Mytilus edulis: one gene and its partner. The protein of the gene in region 2 binds, or shares a complex with, the protein of the main gene of each other region. Links are inferred from orthologs where the notes say so. Each region holds a gene or a part of one and is shown on either strand. Other genes may lie near its edges.

Evidence for each region.
Region 1: nuclear inhibitor of protein phosphatase 1-like (region 2) and splicing factor C9orf78 homolog share a complex: the UniProt entries of both Homo sapiens proteins name them as parts of the spliceosome. The link is inferred for Mytilus edulis from reciprocal best matches to the Homo sapiens genes PPP1R8 and C9orf78.

The regions. Positions count from the first base shown.
Region 1 is NC_092345.1:81,922,499-81,930,586, reverse strand, and holds the start of splicing factor C9orf78 homolog, read right to left. Parts: upstream 3,115-8,088; 5' UTR 3,040-3,114; coding exon 2,942-3,039; intron 1-2,941. UniProt on the Homo sapiens protein: Plays a role in pre-mRNA splicing by promoting usage of the upstream 3'-splice site at alternative NAGNAG splice sites; these are sites featuring alternative acceptor motifs separated by only a few nucleotides. May also modulate exon inclusion events.
Region 2 is NC_092344.1:126,236,465-126,244,082, reverse strand, and holds the start of nuclear inhibitor of protein phosphatase 1-like, read right to left. Parts: upstream 3,126-7,618; 5' UTR 3,067-3,125; coding exon 2,999-3,066; intron 1-2,998. UniProt on the Homo sapiens protein: Inhibitor subunit of the major nuclear protein phosphatase-1 (PP-1). It has RNA-binding activity but does not cleave RNA and may target PP-1 to RNA-associated substrates. May also be involved in pre-mRNA splicing.

The DNA of each region.
Region 1 (8,088 bases), on a different chromosome or scaffold from region 2:
TGAAGGCAGATGAAAGCTTATACAGTGTGTTGTCATATGTGTTTAACAAATCTTGGGAAGAAGGAAAACTTCCAAAACCTTGGAAACTAGCAAATGTTAAATTTATAAGGAAAATGGGAAAGTCAACATATAATAACCCTTCTTCATATCGTCCAATTAGTCTCACAAGTATACTGGGTAAAGTTATGGAAAGAGTAGTAACATCTAGACTAGAAGGTTATATAGAGACCAACTCCATATTGGATCCAGAACAAGAAGGGTTTCGCCACTATCGCTCTACTGAAAATGCCTTGTTAAGTTTAACTCAAAACATCTTTAATGCCTTCAATAACAACGAATTTATATTAGCAGTCTTTATTGATCTTGAAAAAGCATACAACAGTGTTTGGAGGGAAGGACTTCTAACAAAACTTTATGATAACGGTGTTAAAGGTAACATCTGGAATTGGATTAACAATTTTTTAAAGGAAAGACAAGCAAGGTGTGTGATTAACAACCATAAAGGAAGCTGGTTTGAAACCAAAATAGGTCTCCCACAAGGATCAGTTATAGCTCCACTTCTTTTTAATATCTTTATCAAAGACATTTTTGCTAACCTATCATGTAAAAAGTGCAAATTTGCTGATGATGGTAATGTATGGATAAATGGAAAGAACTTGAATGACATGGAGAAACAGGTACAAAAGGATCTTAACATAATCCAGGATTGGACCAAAAAATGGAGAATTAATTTAAGTATTGAGAAAACAGAATATTGTATCTTTTCAAGGAATGGTCCAATAAAGAAAATGAATTTACAACTAGAAGGTAAATTGTTAAAATATAACTGTAATCCAAAAATATTAGGAGTCACGTTAGATGAAAAACTATTATTTCTCAAACACATCGAAAATGTAGAACAAAAGGCACATAAAGCAATTAGCCTACTTAGAATGATCAAAGGAGTTGCAAAAATTTCTACAAAAATTCTACTTCAAATTTACCAAAGTATTGTCCTTTCCACCTTAGAATATGCAAGTAGTGTTTGGCAGACCTGTGAAACCAATATAACAGACAAACTGAACAAAATTCAACGAAAGGGATTAGCTATATGCCTTAATGTTACCCCAACATCAAGTGTAGAGACTTTGGAAGTAGTTTCTGGAATCCTACCAATACATCTGCGTAGAGAAGAAATTGCAACTCGTACACTTGCAAAAATTATTTCGTATGATATCTCCATTCCAATAAAACAAATCCTGGATGATTGGAAAACAATTGACATCCCTGAAAAATATGTATCTCCAGTGGGAAAAATGATTCTTCAGGCAGAAGACATGAAGGTATGTACAGGTGTTGATGTAAATGGTATAGAAGCAGAATTTCAGTTTAATGGGATACAAAGATATAAATCTCCTCCAGATTATTGGAAAAACCTTGGAAATTCCAAATCAAGATTAACAGACCAAAAAAATGTTGGAAAACACATAATAATGGAAAAACTAAGTCATCTTCCAGCAAATTCATGTATAGCATTTACTGATGGGTCCTGTCTTGGTAGTCCTGGCCCTGTAGGAGCAGGTGCTGTCATCTTTCCATCAAATAATCAACCACAAATTGAAATTAGTAAAGCTGTATCCAAAAAAGGATCAATACTACTAGGAGAACTGATCGCCATTAAACTTGTTGTTGACCACTTTTTAATATCAGAAAACAGACAAAACACAGACTCAATTACACTTTTTTCAGATAGTCAGACCTCAATTGGAATTTTAACTTTAAACTGGAAATCAGAGAATTACATCAAAGTCATAAGAGAAATTAAGAAAAACATGAAAGTATTAAAGATGAATGGAATTCCATTAAATTTTGAATGGACACCTGGTCATGCTGATATCCAAGGAAATGACATTGCTGATTCACTGGCCAAAAAAGGAGCTAAAGAAGCTGAAAAAATAGAAGAACCATCAGAAGTAACCAGGCAGGATATAAAACGTGCAGCAAGAGAAAGTGTTTTAAGAAAATGGCAAAACCAATGGGAATCAAGTCAACGTGGCAGAAATTATTACAACTATCATCAAAAAGTCTGTCAGAAAATACCAAAAGATTTACCATCCAAATGGTCGTTTTCAATTACTTCTAGTTTGAGAACAGGTTATTGTGATCTAAATGATTATAAATCCAAAATTATACCATCATCAGACAAAAACTGTTCCTGTGGAGAGCCAGAAACTGTAGAACACTACCTTTTACATTGTTCTAACTATGAGGAGGCTAGAGAGAGGATGAGAACATCTATTTACTTCATTACAGGAAATATACACATGGATTTAGACACCTTATTAGGAATCGATGAAGAAGAAATTAATAGAGACAATCGAAATGAGATATTGTGCCATCTGGAAAATTATTTAAAGGAGTCTGGTAGATTCAAAAACACTATACAGCAAAAAACACTATAAATCTATATCAAAATTAAGTCAAAATTTTTTAAGCAGCAGCCACAATTTCAATTAAGTACATGAGTGAACATTACATATGTGAAGAAACTACAAAAGAGGAAACGTACACAAGTGTTTACAGTGTCATTTGGGACACTTACTAAAGACTAAAGACTAGTGAAAGTCAAAATTCAGAAATCGATGGGTCTCTGTGAAAACTGTTAAAATATGGAAAAATGAAAGTTGGCAGGTAGGTGAAACTTACATAAATGAAAAGATAAATGAAAAATGAACAGATTGCTGCCCGATTTATATAATTCCAAGGCCGTCAGTCGGCACCAAAAACGAAGCAGCGCATCTATTTTGGGTGGGCAAATATCCACTTTTTGATATGGGACGAGCTCTGACGTCCCACGGCCCCAGCTTGTCTGGCAAAACAGCCGTTGGACGTCAGAGTAATCTCGGACTAAAAATTCACCAACAAAATTTTTTTGTCCATTTGTTATGAACTAATTATTTACTCAATGTCATCTGCATCCTCGTTCGAATTGTCATCGCTCTCTGATGAGTGACGTCTTTTTCTGATTGCTCTACATTTTTTCTTCTTAAAAACCTCCATCTATCTTTCTTTACTTAGGTCAACTTTCTTGGCAAAAAAATACGAACATTATTAGTTTTTAACAAGGGAGGTAATCGATGTAACACAATAAAAGTTGTACGGATGGGATCGGACACGGTTTTATTCCGAATATTGTATTTTTTCTGAATTAATATTTAGGAATTTTTCACGAAAAATAATGATATATAGATAAATGAAGGTCAATGCATAGTTATTATTAAAATATGGTGGTTATTTATCGACCAGCGGCAAATATCAACAGATTATTCTATATTTTTTTTACAATATTATAACATGGTTTAGATACCGTGCATGATTGCTCGTGATCGACGACACTTAATTTATTCTTCTTCTTTATATTTCAGCACACCACCAATATACTGATGATAAGGTGCCCGGGCACTAATACCACAAGCCAGCGGGTGCGTGGGATCTAATTTCTATTTACAGTTAAATATATACAAAATGAAATAAAAATTCCAACCGATGCATAAAGTTCCCTTTTCTTCTGTTTTTTTTTTACTATAGATCATATTTAAGTGTTTAGATGTTTGTTGAGAACAGATATTGGTATACATGTGTGAATGTTGACATTTTATTGTGTCAGATTGCGTACTAAGTAGATCTGTCGGGTATATGACTACAATATGATCTATGATTTTGTAGAAGATCACGGATGCGTTCCATTTTAGGTTGGGCTCAGTAAGGATTGTTTAGCCAAGATCATTTGTGGATATTTCTTTTTGCAGCAAATGTTGCTGAAGGGTATAGTTGAATTCTAATGGGGTTTTCTTGGTTGTTATCTCAATGACCGAACACTTCTCTGGATGGAATGACATGGGCAAATCTGGCAGTGAATCTAACGGTCTTTTTATTTTCGTATTGATTTGCAAATTATGGTGTGATCTACCCCCCCCCCCCCCCCCCAAAAAAAAAAACTCAAGTGTTCTCGTGTTTGATATATACACACGGAACAGAATAGGGCATTAACTGTTCCTTGGGGGAACACCAGATGTTTATTTATTATTTGAACTAGAGATTTGAACTTGACCGGCTCCAGTGAAGGCGAGTACTCTTAATTCGGTAATTCATGTATGTTGTTTTTATTTTCACTTGCATAGTGTTTTTTACGGATCTTCGATGTCATATTGAACTGATTTGTATAGATTAGTGTGTTTTAAAGTTTTATCCCAGGTTATGGGCTTACAAACATTTATTGCGAAGGAATTAAAACCTTTGAAGTTTCGTGAAAATCATTTTGCTTTTGTCAGAGCATTTAAAATGTTTGAAGCTTGACTGTCCAATCAGTTATCTACATTGAGTCTATTTAACATAAACTTTAACAAAAATTCTCCTGAACAATACGATGGCATTACTATCATTTCCTTGCTGGAGAACTTATATTTCGTAGTTGTTTTTTGTCCTGTTCGACTAGTGTGGCGTGGGCATTGCTGGTGTACGTAGAGCTAGCTAGTCTATAACATGCCTGTTACCGCTTATATATGTAAAGTTTTCATAATCTTAGCTGAATACTCAGTACAGATTTATCTGAATTGTTCTATAATATTCGCTTAAAAATTATGATATGCAACAGCAGATGAAAAGGTTACTGCTAAAATGTCAATTCGGTTAGCTTTAAATCTAGAGCATTAATAGGAAGAAAATAGCTGACACAAATCCAGAAATAAACTGTTTCTATATGAAGTTAAGGTTTGGATTTTAAATTTGAAACCACAAAATCATAATGACAAAATGGACAATACATAAAACAAAACTTATACAATTCTCATTATTTATCAACAAGATTCCATAATGTGTTTGCGCCAATTGTCGTATAATGGTCTATAATATTGAAGCAGACCGTCAGACGATTCTATATGGTTTTAGTTCATAAACTGTAGTAATAGACAGTGTTATATTCCAGTCAGATCTTCTTAGTCAAATGCAATTCATAAAAGTAAAACAAAAACACACTCCAAAACTCCAAAACACTTATAATTATTTGATATGTTGTTTATGACATGACAAATGCGATGTTTGGGAAAACCCATTCTAGATCATTCTATCACTGACAGCAACTTTGTCAATATAGAAAAAATACTATTTCAAATATGTGTTTTAAAACAACATATATAACTGATATACGTATTGTCCGATAAAGGTCGAGTTATTTACTAGGCAGATGTCAAATATTGGAATTGTGATGAATTATATAAACTGTCCCAAATGAATTATTCATGCTAGACTTTGACAATATTACACAGGTAACGGTCAGATCGATATTCCACTTAGAAATTACCTGCAAATGTCGATTTCAAGATAATATGATTTTAAAAATAAAGGCAATTCCAAATCGATTAAAAATGTTGTATATATACCATCTCACTAAACATAATTAAATACAACACTACATCAAAAGACGGCTTTAATATCACATTAACTTTAACACGTTTTGGCAAGCAAATAACAAACTCAGCTACTTCCGGTACAGCAATACTATTGGATTTGGAATGGATTCTTAATATCAGGTTTGTATATTTTTATATTTTAATTTCCTGTAGAAGACTTTGACCACTTTCTCCTTTGGTTACAGTACACTATAAATATATACTTTTTTCAGCTCAATCAATACTCTAATTTGGAATATAAACAGCAACAGATCAGATTATGAAGTGTTTTCTGATTTGTGATGGTTGTTTACCCCAAACGATTCAGTGTATTAGATTTTGATAAATTGATCTCTGTGTCTTGATCGATAAATTACATTTTTAATTTAATCGAAATTATTGTGTGGTTTGGTTTGGAGCTTTCTGTTGATTACTCAAGACACATTTTATTATATCTTGAATGAGCCATACATGTACATGTATGTGTATTTGAAATGAAATCTGAACGTAGTTGTTTCTTATTCTAGTATGAAATAAGATATATGTGAAAGGATTGCCCCTGAGACAACTAGCCAACAGAGTTCTTAAATGAAGTGCATTCCTATGGTTACCTGCCATACGGTCGTCGACAATGAGAAATGCCAATACCATATAGTCAGCTATAAACGGCTTCGACAAATGTTTTTATCTCACCTGGCCTGGCTTTTATCATCACTTGGCGTCCGTCGTCCGTCGTCGTTAACTTTTACAAAAATCTTCTTCTCTGAAACTACTGGGACATATTTATCCAAACTTGGCCACACTCATTATTGAGGTATCTAGTTTTAAAAATGTGTCCGGTGACCCGGCCAACCAACCAAGATGGCCGCCATGGCTCAAAATAGAACATAGGGGTAAACTGTAGATTTTGTCTTATATCTCTGTAACCAAAGCATTTAGAGCAAATCTTGCATTTCATTAGGTCAAATCTATCTGCCCTGAAATTTTCAGACAAATCGGACAACCCGTTGTTATGTTGCTGCCCCTGAATTTGTAGAAAACTTTGCCGTTTTTGGTTATTATCTTGAATATTATTATAGATAGAGATAAACTGTTTGCAGCAATAATGTTCAGCAAAGTAAGGTCTACAAATAAGTCAACATGACCAAAATGGTCAGCTGACCCCTTAAGGATTTATTGCCCTTTAGTCAATTTTTAACATTTTTTTGGTAAATTTTTGTAAATTTTTGTAAATTTTTGTAAATCTTTGGAATTTTGTATCCTCAATGCTCTTCAACTTTGTACTAGTTTGACTTTGTAGATATTTTGATATGAGCGTCACTGATGAGTCTTATGTAGATGAAACGCGTGTAAATATGTGACGTTATCCAATCAAAATGAACGTTACAAATTTGTTGCATTAGAATTAGGAGATAACTGTATTGTATTTTAAGCTCCGACGGCATCAATTGAGGATTTGATGGTCGCAAATTAAGTGTACTGGCGACGCGTTAGACAATATTGTTATCTCCATTCTAATGAAACTGACTGAAAACAACGTTAAAAAATGTATTTAAAGTTTGCCATATGACGTCTGCGCAGCCGCTTGCGCGTACGTCCCATAGCATCAATTGACAATGTAAATATGTGACGTTATCCAATCAAAATGAATGTTACAAATTTGTTGCATTAGAATGATTAGTCTTATGAAGACAAAACGCGCGTCTGACGTACTAAATTGTAATCCTGGTTTTCGAACAACTAAGGATTTTCTTATCCCAGGCATAGATTACCTTAGCCTTATTTGGCACAACTTTTTGGAATTTTTGTAAATCTTTGGAATTTTCTATCGTCTGTGCTCTTCAACTTTGTACTAATTTGGCTTTATAAATATTTTGATATGAGCGTCACTGATGAGTCTTATGAAGACAAAACGCGCATCTGGCGTACTAAATTATAATCCTGGTACCTGTGATAACTATTTACAAAAATCTTCTTCTCTGAAACTACTAAGACAAATTTCACCAATCTTGTCCACAATCATCATTAGGGTATCTTATTTTAAAGTGTATTCGATGACCCCGCCCGCGAACCAAGATGGCCGACATTGCTAAATATAGTACATAGGGTAAAATGCAGTTTTTGGCCCATATCTCTGAAAACAAAGCATTTAGAGCAAATCTGACAGGATAAAATTGATCATTAGGTAAAGATCTATCTGCCAGGAAATTTTCAGATGAATCGGACAACCCGTTGTTAGGTTGCTGTCTCTGAAATGGCAATTTTGAGAAACTTGTTTTGCAGCTTTTGGTAATTATTTTGAATATTATTATAGATAGAGATAAACTGTATACAGCAATGTAAGACCTAAAAATACGTCAACATGACCAAATTGATCAATTGACCCCTTAAGGAGTTATTGCCCTTTATAGTCTATTTTTAACAACTTTCAAAATTTTGTGAATTTTTACAAAATATTTTCCACTGTATCTACTGGGCCAAGTTCATTATAGATTGAGATAATTGTAAGCAGCAAGAATGTTCAGTAAAGTAAGATCTACAAACACATCACCAATACCAAAACACAATTTTGTCATGAATCCATCTGTGCCCTTTGTTCAATATGCTCATAGACCAAGGTGAGCGACCCAGGCTCTTTAGAGCCTCTTTATATTCGCTGATA
Region 2 (7,618 bases):
CCTTACAGTCCTTCCATACACCGAATATACTAGCCCTATTGCTTATAGTATCTGAGATATGGACTTGACCACCAAAACTTAACCTTGTTCACTGATCCATGAAATGAGGTTGAGGTCAAGTGAAAACTGTCTGACGGGCATGAGGACCTTGCAAGGTACGCACATACCTAATATAATTATCCTATTACTTATAATAAGAGAGAATTCAACATTACAAAAAATCTGAACTTTTTTTTCAAGTGGTCACTGAACCATGAAAATAAGGTCAAGGACATTTGACATTTTTTTCAAGTGGTCACTGAACCATGAAAATGAGGCCAAGGACATTTGACATGTGACTGATGGAAATTTCGTAACATGAGGCATCTATATGTATATACAAAGTATGAAGCATCCAGGTCTTCCACCTTCTAAAATATAAAGCTTTTAAAAAGTTAGCCAACGCCGCCGCCAACGCCGGATCACTATCCCTATGTTGAGCTTTCTGCAACAAAAGTTGCAGGCTCGACAAAAATTAATATTCCTCATAATATATGAGACAACAATCTGTGAAAACAGATAATGGAACATTTTCTCTAAAATTAGGACTGTATTACTTTTCATTTCAAAATTTCAAATTTACAACAAAAGCTAAATATATTAACAGAAACATTTCAGTAAATTCAGAAATTATTGCGATGCTTTTATTAATGCAAAAAATGTGACAGGGTAATACATGTCATTGCATGTAATCCCAATAATTTGAACTCGCATTTTTTTACATTTTTTACACATGACTTGTTGAAGATTTTTGGCATTATGCTTGTGGTTGGTAAAAAAAACCGATCACTGTCAAGAACAATATAGGTAATTAATGTACAAAATGTAGCTATATATAGATACATACAAGTCTAAATTGAAATCAACGTTCAATCCTATGATCAGTGATGATTGCATTTTATCAAAACTAGAATTGTATACATGTTCCACAGTTTGGGATGCAGTAACCTGATTTAAATCTATAACATCACATGGTCAACATATAGTCTAAATAATTATGACGTCTTGAAAGGCTATTATAATTTTTTTCTTCTTACTTCGAAGTAAGGCGTCAAAGAAAAAAATTACAATAGCCTTACAAGACGTCATAATTATTTGTACTAGGTCAACATATAGATGTACATGTACTGTAGATCAGATTGTTAAATATAGTGTTACCTGGGCGACTTTTGACTTGAACATGTAGTCTAGAATGCATACCAGTTGACATATTCCAGACTAAATGCATCTATTGTAGAGTACGCCGGTTACGTACAATCAAACACAATATGCATTAGTCAAGAGAGCTCCCAATGGTCAGGAGTTCCCTTAGAGTTAATATAGACGTCCAAGCTAACAGACGTGTTTCCTGATGGTAGGAGCCTGGAATTTGGTGCTGTACACAGACCCTTGTAACTCTCAACCTTAGAGTACTCAGCGACACTCTTATATATCTATTAGTATACTTAAGTCACTACACTATGATACAAGCCCCAGTTGTAGACCAAACAGGTTACTGTAAGTAGATGTGGTTTCTCAGTTTTAAGGTTTGTTTGTACAGAGTAGTACATGTATATTGTGTAAACACTTAACACAACTATTTTTGTCAAATGTTTATGAGTAGCTTCACATTTCAGACGAAACATAATTATATCAGAAAAAGTGACCAGTGTAATTAAGGTTCATCATAACAAATGGACAAATATGGCCGTATTTTCACCTCAAAAACTACTCTGTGTTCAGACTTACCTGTGCTGTTTGGAAAGTTTTAATGCCTAGCATCCACTAGATATATAAAAGTTAAATGCATTTTGTGTTTAAAAAAGATAAAATCTTTCTTGGTTTTTGATGGGCATTTTTTTTTCCTTTCTGCAGAAGGTGCAAATATAAACAAACACCTGAATTACTTTGATACTGTCCACTCACTGACTCAGATAAACTCTTTAACTCACCCAAAGTTGTGAAGATACCTGGTGTCCTAGTCACGGAGAGATTCAATATGACCGAATAAAATAGGCGGAGAATGTATACAAATGGAAATAATTAGATAATAGTGTTAAGGAAATGAATATTCAAACATAAATAGGTACGTCATATCCTAGAAAAATATCTAACGAAACGAACTATATATATTGACAAGTTTTGCATGGATTATAAACAATATTTTTTTTGAGAAATAAGTGCGACCTGAACCTGGGTCGCAATTCCGAACATTTTGTAATAGGAAAAATCTGTAGCTCTATGGTCCGCAAATAGTCAAAAAATAACATAAGGACATAAGAGCTACGGTTCCGCAGCTAACATAAATGAAGAGATAAATGAAAAATGAACAGATTGATGCCCGATTTATATAATTCCAAGGCCGTCAGTCGGCACCAGAAGCAACGAAGCAGCGCATCTATTTTGGGTGGGCAAATATACACGTTTTGATATGGGACGAGCTCTGACGTCCCACGGCCCCAGCTTGTCTGGCAAAACAGCCGTTGGACGTCAGAGTAATCGGACTACTGGTGTCCATGTCAATTAAGGACAGTGAAAACAATACAAACCGTTTTTTTACCTGAGGGAGCATCTCATAGTTGTACCACAACTTGGTCAATTTTCAAACCTTTTGCATGAAGGAAAAAAAATGCCTATCAAAATCCAAAAGAGATTTTATCTTTCTGAAACACAAAATGCATTTAACTTTATTATATCTAATGGATGCTAGGCATTAAAACTTTTCAAACTTTACAGGTAAGTCTGTACTCAGAGTAATTTTTGGAATGTAAATACAGCCATATTTGTCCGTTTGTTATGATGAACCTTTAAAAAAAGTATATAATTACAAAGAGAAATGCCCGAGACTGAATAAACAGTGAATTACAGACACTCGGTTTGGCCTCTTTATGTTATGCACTGTCAAAATTAAATTTATATGCATAAATAATGAATAACATATGTTTCAGTCACAATTTCAAATACGTTATTAGTTACACACCATGACGGTACTTCGAAATTATTGACCAGCGGGCCTTCATTCTGTTGGATGTGTTGATTCTTCGCCATGTTTTTATAGTAAGCTGTGATCAACTCGCCCCATTGGAAAATCGACCCACACCAGCTCCGCTTTTTCACCAACTCGCCCCTCTTTTTAAAAAAATCGTCCCACTCTTATCAACCCGCCCCAATTTAACTATATTGCGGAAATAATAATAATAATAATAATAATAATAATAATAATAATAATAATAATAATAATAATAATAATAATAATAATAATAATAATAATAATAATAATAATAATAATAATAATAATAATAATAAGGCTCATTCTATATGCCACTGACACCGGAACATGGAACACATTTATAAAGGAATTAGATAAATCATTAGACCATATTTCAAACAAAAATCAAACCATCATACCAACTGGAGATTTCAACTGCCCAGACATAAACTGGAACACCATGTCCGCAAACCAAAATGCACAAGACAAGGAAATCCAAAGAGCTCTAATGGAAGTTATCATATCACACTCACTAACACAGATACACGAAACACCAACAAGAAGCAATAACTTACTGGACATAGTGCTGACTAACTTCACTTCAAACCCGTCACTTATCAAAACATCTTCTAATGCTCCAGGAAAATCTGACCACGATATGATTGTAACAGACTGCGACATAAAACCACATTATCAGAGTAAGAAGCCACGCAAATGCTACATATACTCCAAAGCAAAATGGGAAGATCTACACAAAGACCTGACTATATATATCCTTTCAACCAACACCATTGAAATGTACCATACAGGCGCCACAGTACAGGAATTATGGGACAAGTTCAAGACAGACCTTTTTTCGAACCTTGACAACCATATACCATCAAAACTCATCCAATCTAAAACCAGTCTACCCTGGATCAATCATAAAATCAGGAAAATGTTTTAAAAGAAAACAAGGCTATATCAACAGGCAAAGAAAACCAAAGACAAAACTCTGCCGACAACATCAAAGCATATAAAAAGCACAATACTGCCTTTAGACATAAGACCAGATGAAGTCGAAAAGCTGCTGAAAAAAAATAAATACATCCAAGGCATCAGGACCAGACGGCATACCAAACCGTATATTGAAAGAATGCTCAAAACAACTAGCACCTGGACTTACAATGATATTCCCAAAATCCATCAACACTGGTACACTACCAAGAGACTGGCTAAACGTAAATATATCAAGTGTCTTCAAAAAGGGAGATAAACATGCACCAGAAAACTACAGACCAGTATCACTAACATCTGTACCATGCAAGCTACTGGAACATATTATCTGTAGACATATACTTTAAAAAAAATAATCATCTAGAGAAGCACAGAGTACTTACATCACTAAACCATAGCTTCAGGTCAGGCTATTCCTGTGCAACCCAACTGCTAGTCACACTACATGACTTCATGAAAGCCTTTGACGCAGGAAACAAATTGATGTAGATATCCTGGACATTTCCAAAGCATTTGACACTGTGCCACACTACAAACTGCTGCACAAAATGAATGAATACGGTATAAGAGGACCACTAAACAAATGGTTGGAGATGTTCCTAACCCAAAGGAAAATGAAAGCTGTCGTAGATGGGGAGGAATCAGAAGAAGCTTCAGTTGACTCCGGTGTAACACAAGGTACAGAACTAGGACCCCTTCTCTTCCTCTGCCACATTAACGACCTTCCAGATTCAGTACAATCTTCTGTGAAGACTTTTCGCAGATGACTGCCTCCTGTACAGGAACAGAAATAGTCAACATGACAACACACTCCTACAGCGAGACCTCCAAAACCTAGAAGTATGGACCAAAAACTGGGGCATTCGCTTCAATGCAAAGAAGTGCTATATACTTAGTATCAAGAACAAAAGCCAGATGATGTACAGCCTAGACGGACATGTACTACAACAAGTCCAACGCAACCCATACCTAGGCTTACAAATATCAGAAGACATAAAATGGACCACGCATATCTCAAATGTAGCCAAGAAAGCCAATTACACACTCGGCTTTCTAAGAAGAAATCTACACTTCTGCCCAAAAGATTGCAAAATGACCGCATATGTATCATTAGTACGATCAACTATGGAATATGGTGCCATAATATGATACCATATACACAGCATGATATAAATCAATTGAAAGTATACAATGCAGAGCAGCTAGATTCATTACAGGCGACTATAGGTTTAGAGAAGAGGGGTCGGTAACCAAAATACTAGCCGAGTTGGAACTAGACAACCTACAAACGAGAAGAACAAGTCAGCGGCTGGTATTTCTGTACAAAGTGGTTGAGGTGTTGGTCTCAGCTCTTAATCCCGACGATTTTCTTGTTAAAAGTAAACCTAAGAGGAAAATCAAACCCAAAACATTTGACAATTTTGTAAGTGCCAATATAGTGACAAATTCAGTGAAGAACAATTCTAAAGGCACTAGAAACTATTCCTAGCAGCACCGATCCATATAAGAACTCTATCTTTGTCAAGAGCATACTACACTGGAACCAACTGGAAGACCGTATTGTATGCGCAGATACAGTTGAGAGCTTCAAGGCTGCTCACCAACACCGTTAATAGGTGTCTTTCTCTCCCGTTGAGTAAAAGTCAGAATTTGTGTCTTCAACGTACACATACAGGTACCAATACAGACAGATAATAATTATAATTTTATTCCACAACGCTTCAATCAGTTTGGAAGACTTTCCGATTTTTCACATTCACAAGTTTCGATTTCCATGACAACGGCAGCCATCTTTAAAGTGCCAGCCCCCGATTGCACATCTACACATGGGGGTTAACATTATGATAAAGTTCCATCAATCATCATTGGTCCATACAATTCCGAGAAATAGTCTGGACAAAAAGAGTGAAATAATAATCATTATTAATAATAAAAAAAATTTAAAAAAAATAAAAATTTGGAACAATAACAATATGTCACCCGACCTCCGTCAGGGTGACATAATAATAATATCTTTTTTAAAGAGAGTAACTCATCAAGTTTGCATTAAACCAATTTTCAATAAGGCTCTCTACATACAATAGCAACTACATGAACAAAATTAAGTAAACATAATTAATCTTATAACCTTATTACACACATATAAACAATAGATGTATATTAACACAAATATATATAACAATAATAAAACACAAAAACAAACAAAAACAAACAAACAAAAAAAAACAAAAAAAAAACCCACCTATACGGTATACATTGTGGCGTAGCTTATAAATTTTACACTTTAGAAAAAGACTTGTAAGAGTAATTGATTGCAGATATACTTTATTTACTAATTTCAATGGATAGTGAATTCCACACTAAGTTTTATGAAAAGAAAAGCCGGAAAAACTTGATTTGTATAATTATTTTGTATTTAATTTAGGGAAAATACAATTATCTGCTAATAAAAGTATTGTACGATTGTTACTATTTGTAGTCACAATACGATTGGATAAATATGTTGGTGTCAGGTCATGTTTTGATTTATACATTATAATAATGACTTCTGGTAGAGTATTCTATTTTCAAGAGATCTTCCCTAAAGTTTGAAAGTACTATTTTTGTTTCAAATGTTAAAATTCGCTAAAAAATAATTCTCAATTGAAATAAGTATACTACAAGTATATCACGCATTATATCAAACCTCTGATTATGAGCGACCTACTTTTAGCGAATTTGAAAATGACAAGCCTTACATTTGCTCTAAGAAATGGTATTACGTTTTCGCGATTTCACCTGTAATTTACCTAAATTAGGCTTTTACATGTGATTTAATCACAGGCACTTGTCTCCAATTTTGTTTCCCTATTGGTACCTTAATGATATATTAATGTATATAGGAAAAAAAATTCTGAGACAGTTGCCTGTGGATTGAATCATGAGAATAATAATATTACTTGTGTGTGTTTTTTTTTAATATAGGAAAATGAGGTATCTCGTTGGTTGTTGTCATACATGTTTTTTTCATTTATTGATTTGAACCGTGGCATGGTTTGCATTCATACCAGATTTTATTTTTTATAAACATTTTCCTTCAGTATAACTGAAATAGCCTTTGTTTGTATACAGTGTCTCGTAAGTCTTTATAGGCTGGGTATTGATCCTTTTTTTTATGATTTTGGTTTGTAATTTTATTGTAGATCAATATGTGATACTTTTATAAACTATCATTTATCTTTATCTTCTCTTATCTTTATCTTCTAAAATTTAAGAAATATTTCACATCAGCCGTATATTTGTTTTCATTCAACCATCTGACAATATATCGTTTGCAAAATTGTCTTCAATTTTCTCCATCGTGAGAAATGAAAATCCAAAATCTGCATAATTAATACATGCCTTCGTATGTTCCGTAGAATCAGAACAATCTTAATATCCTACTAAATAAGTTTTCTCTAAATGTATCATACCTTTAACCAAAGTCGAGTTGTTGCTCTTTTACAAATAATAACTGTACAAATCGGTGCCAAAAACGTCACAAATCCTTTTCGTTTTAAGGTATTCGACATGGCATCAGCGACCCTTTTGAGTATGATATTTCAAATTTGTATCTGTAAACTTTGTCTAAATAGC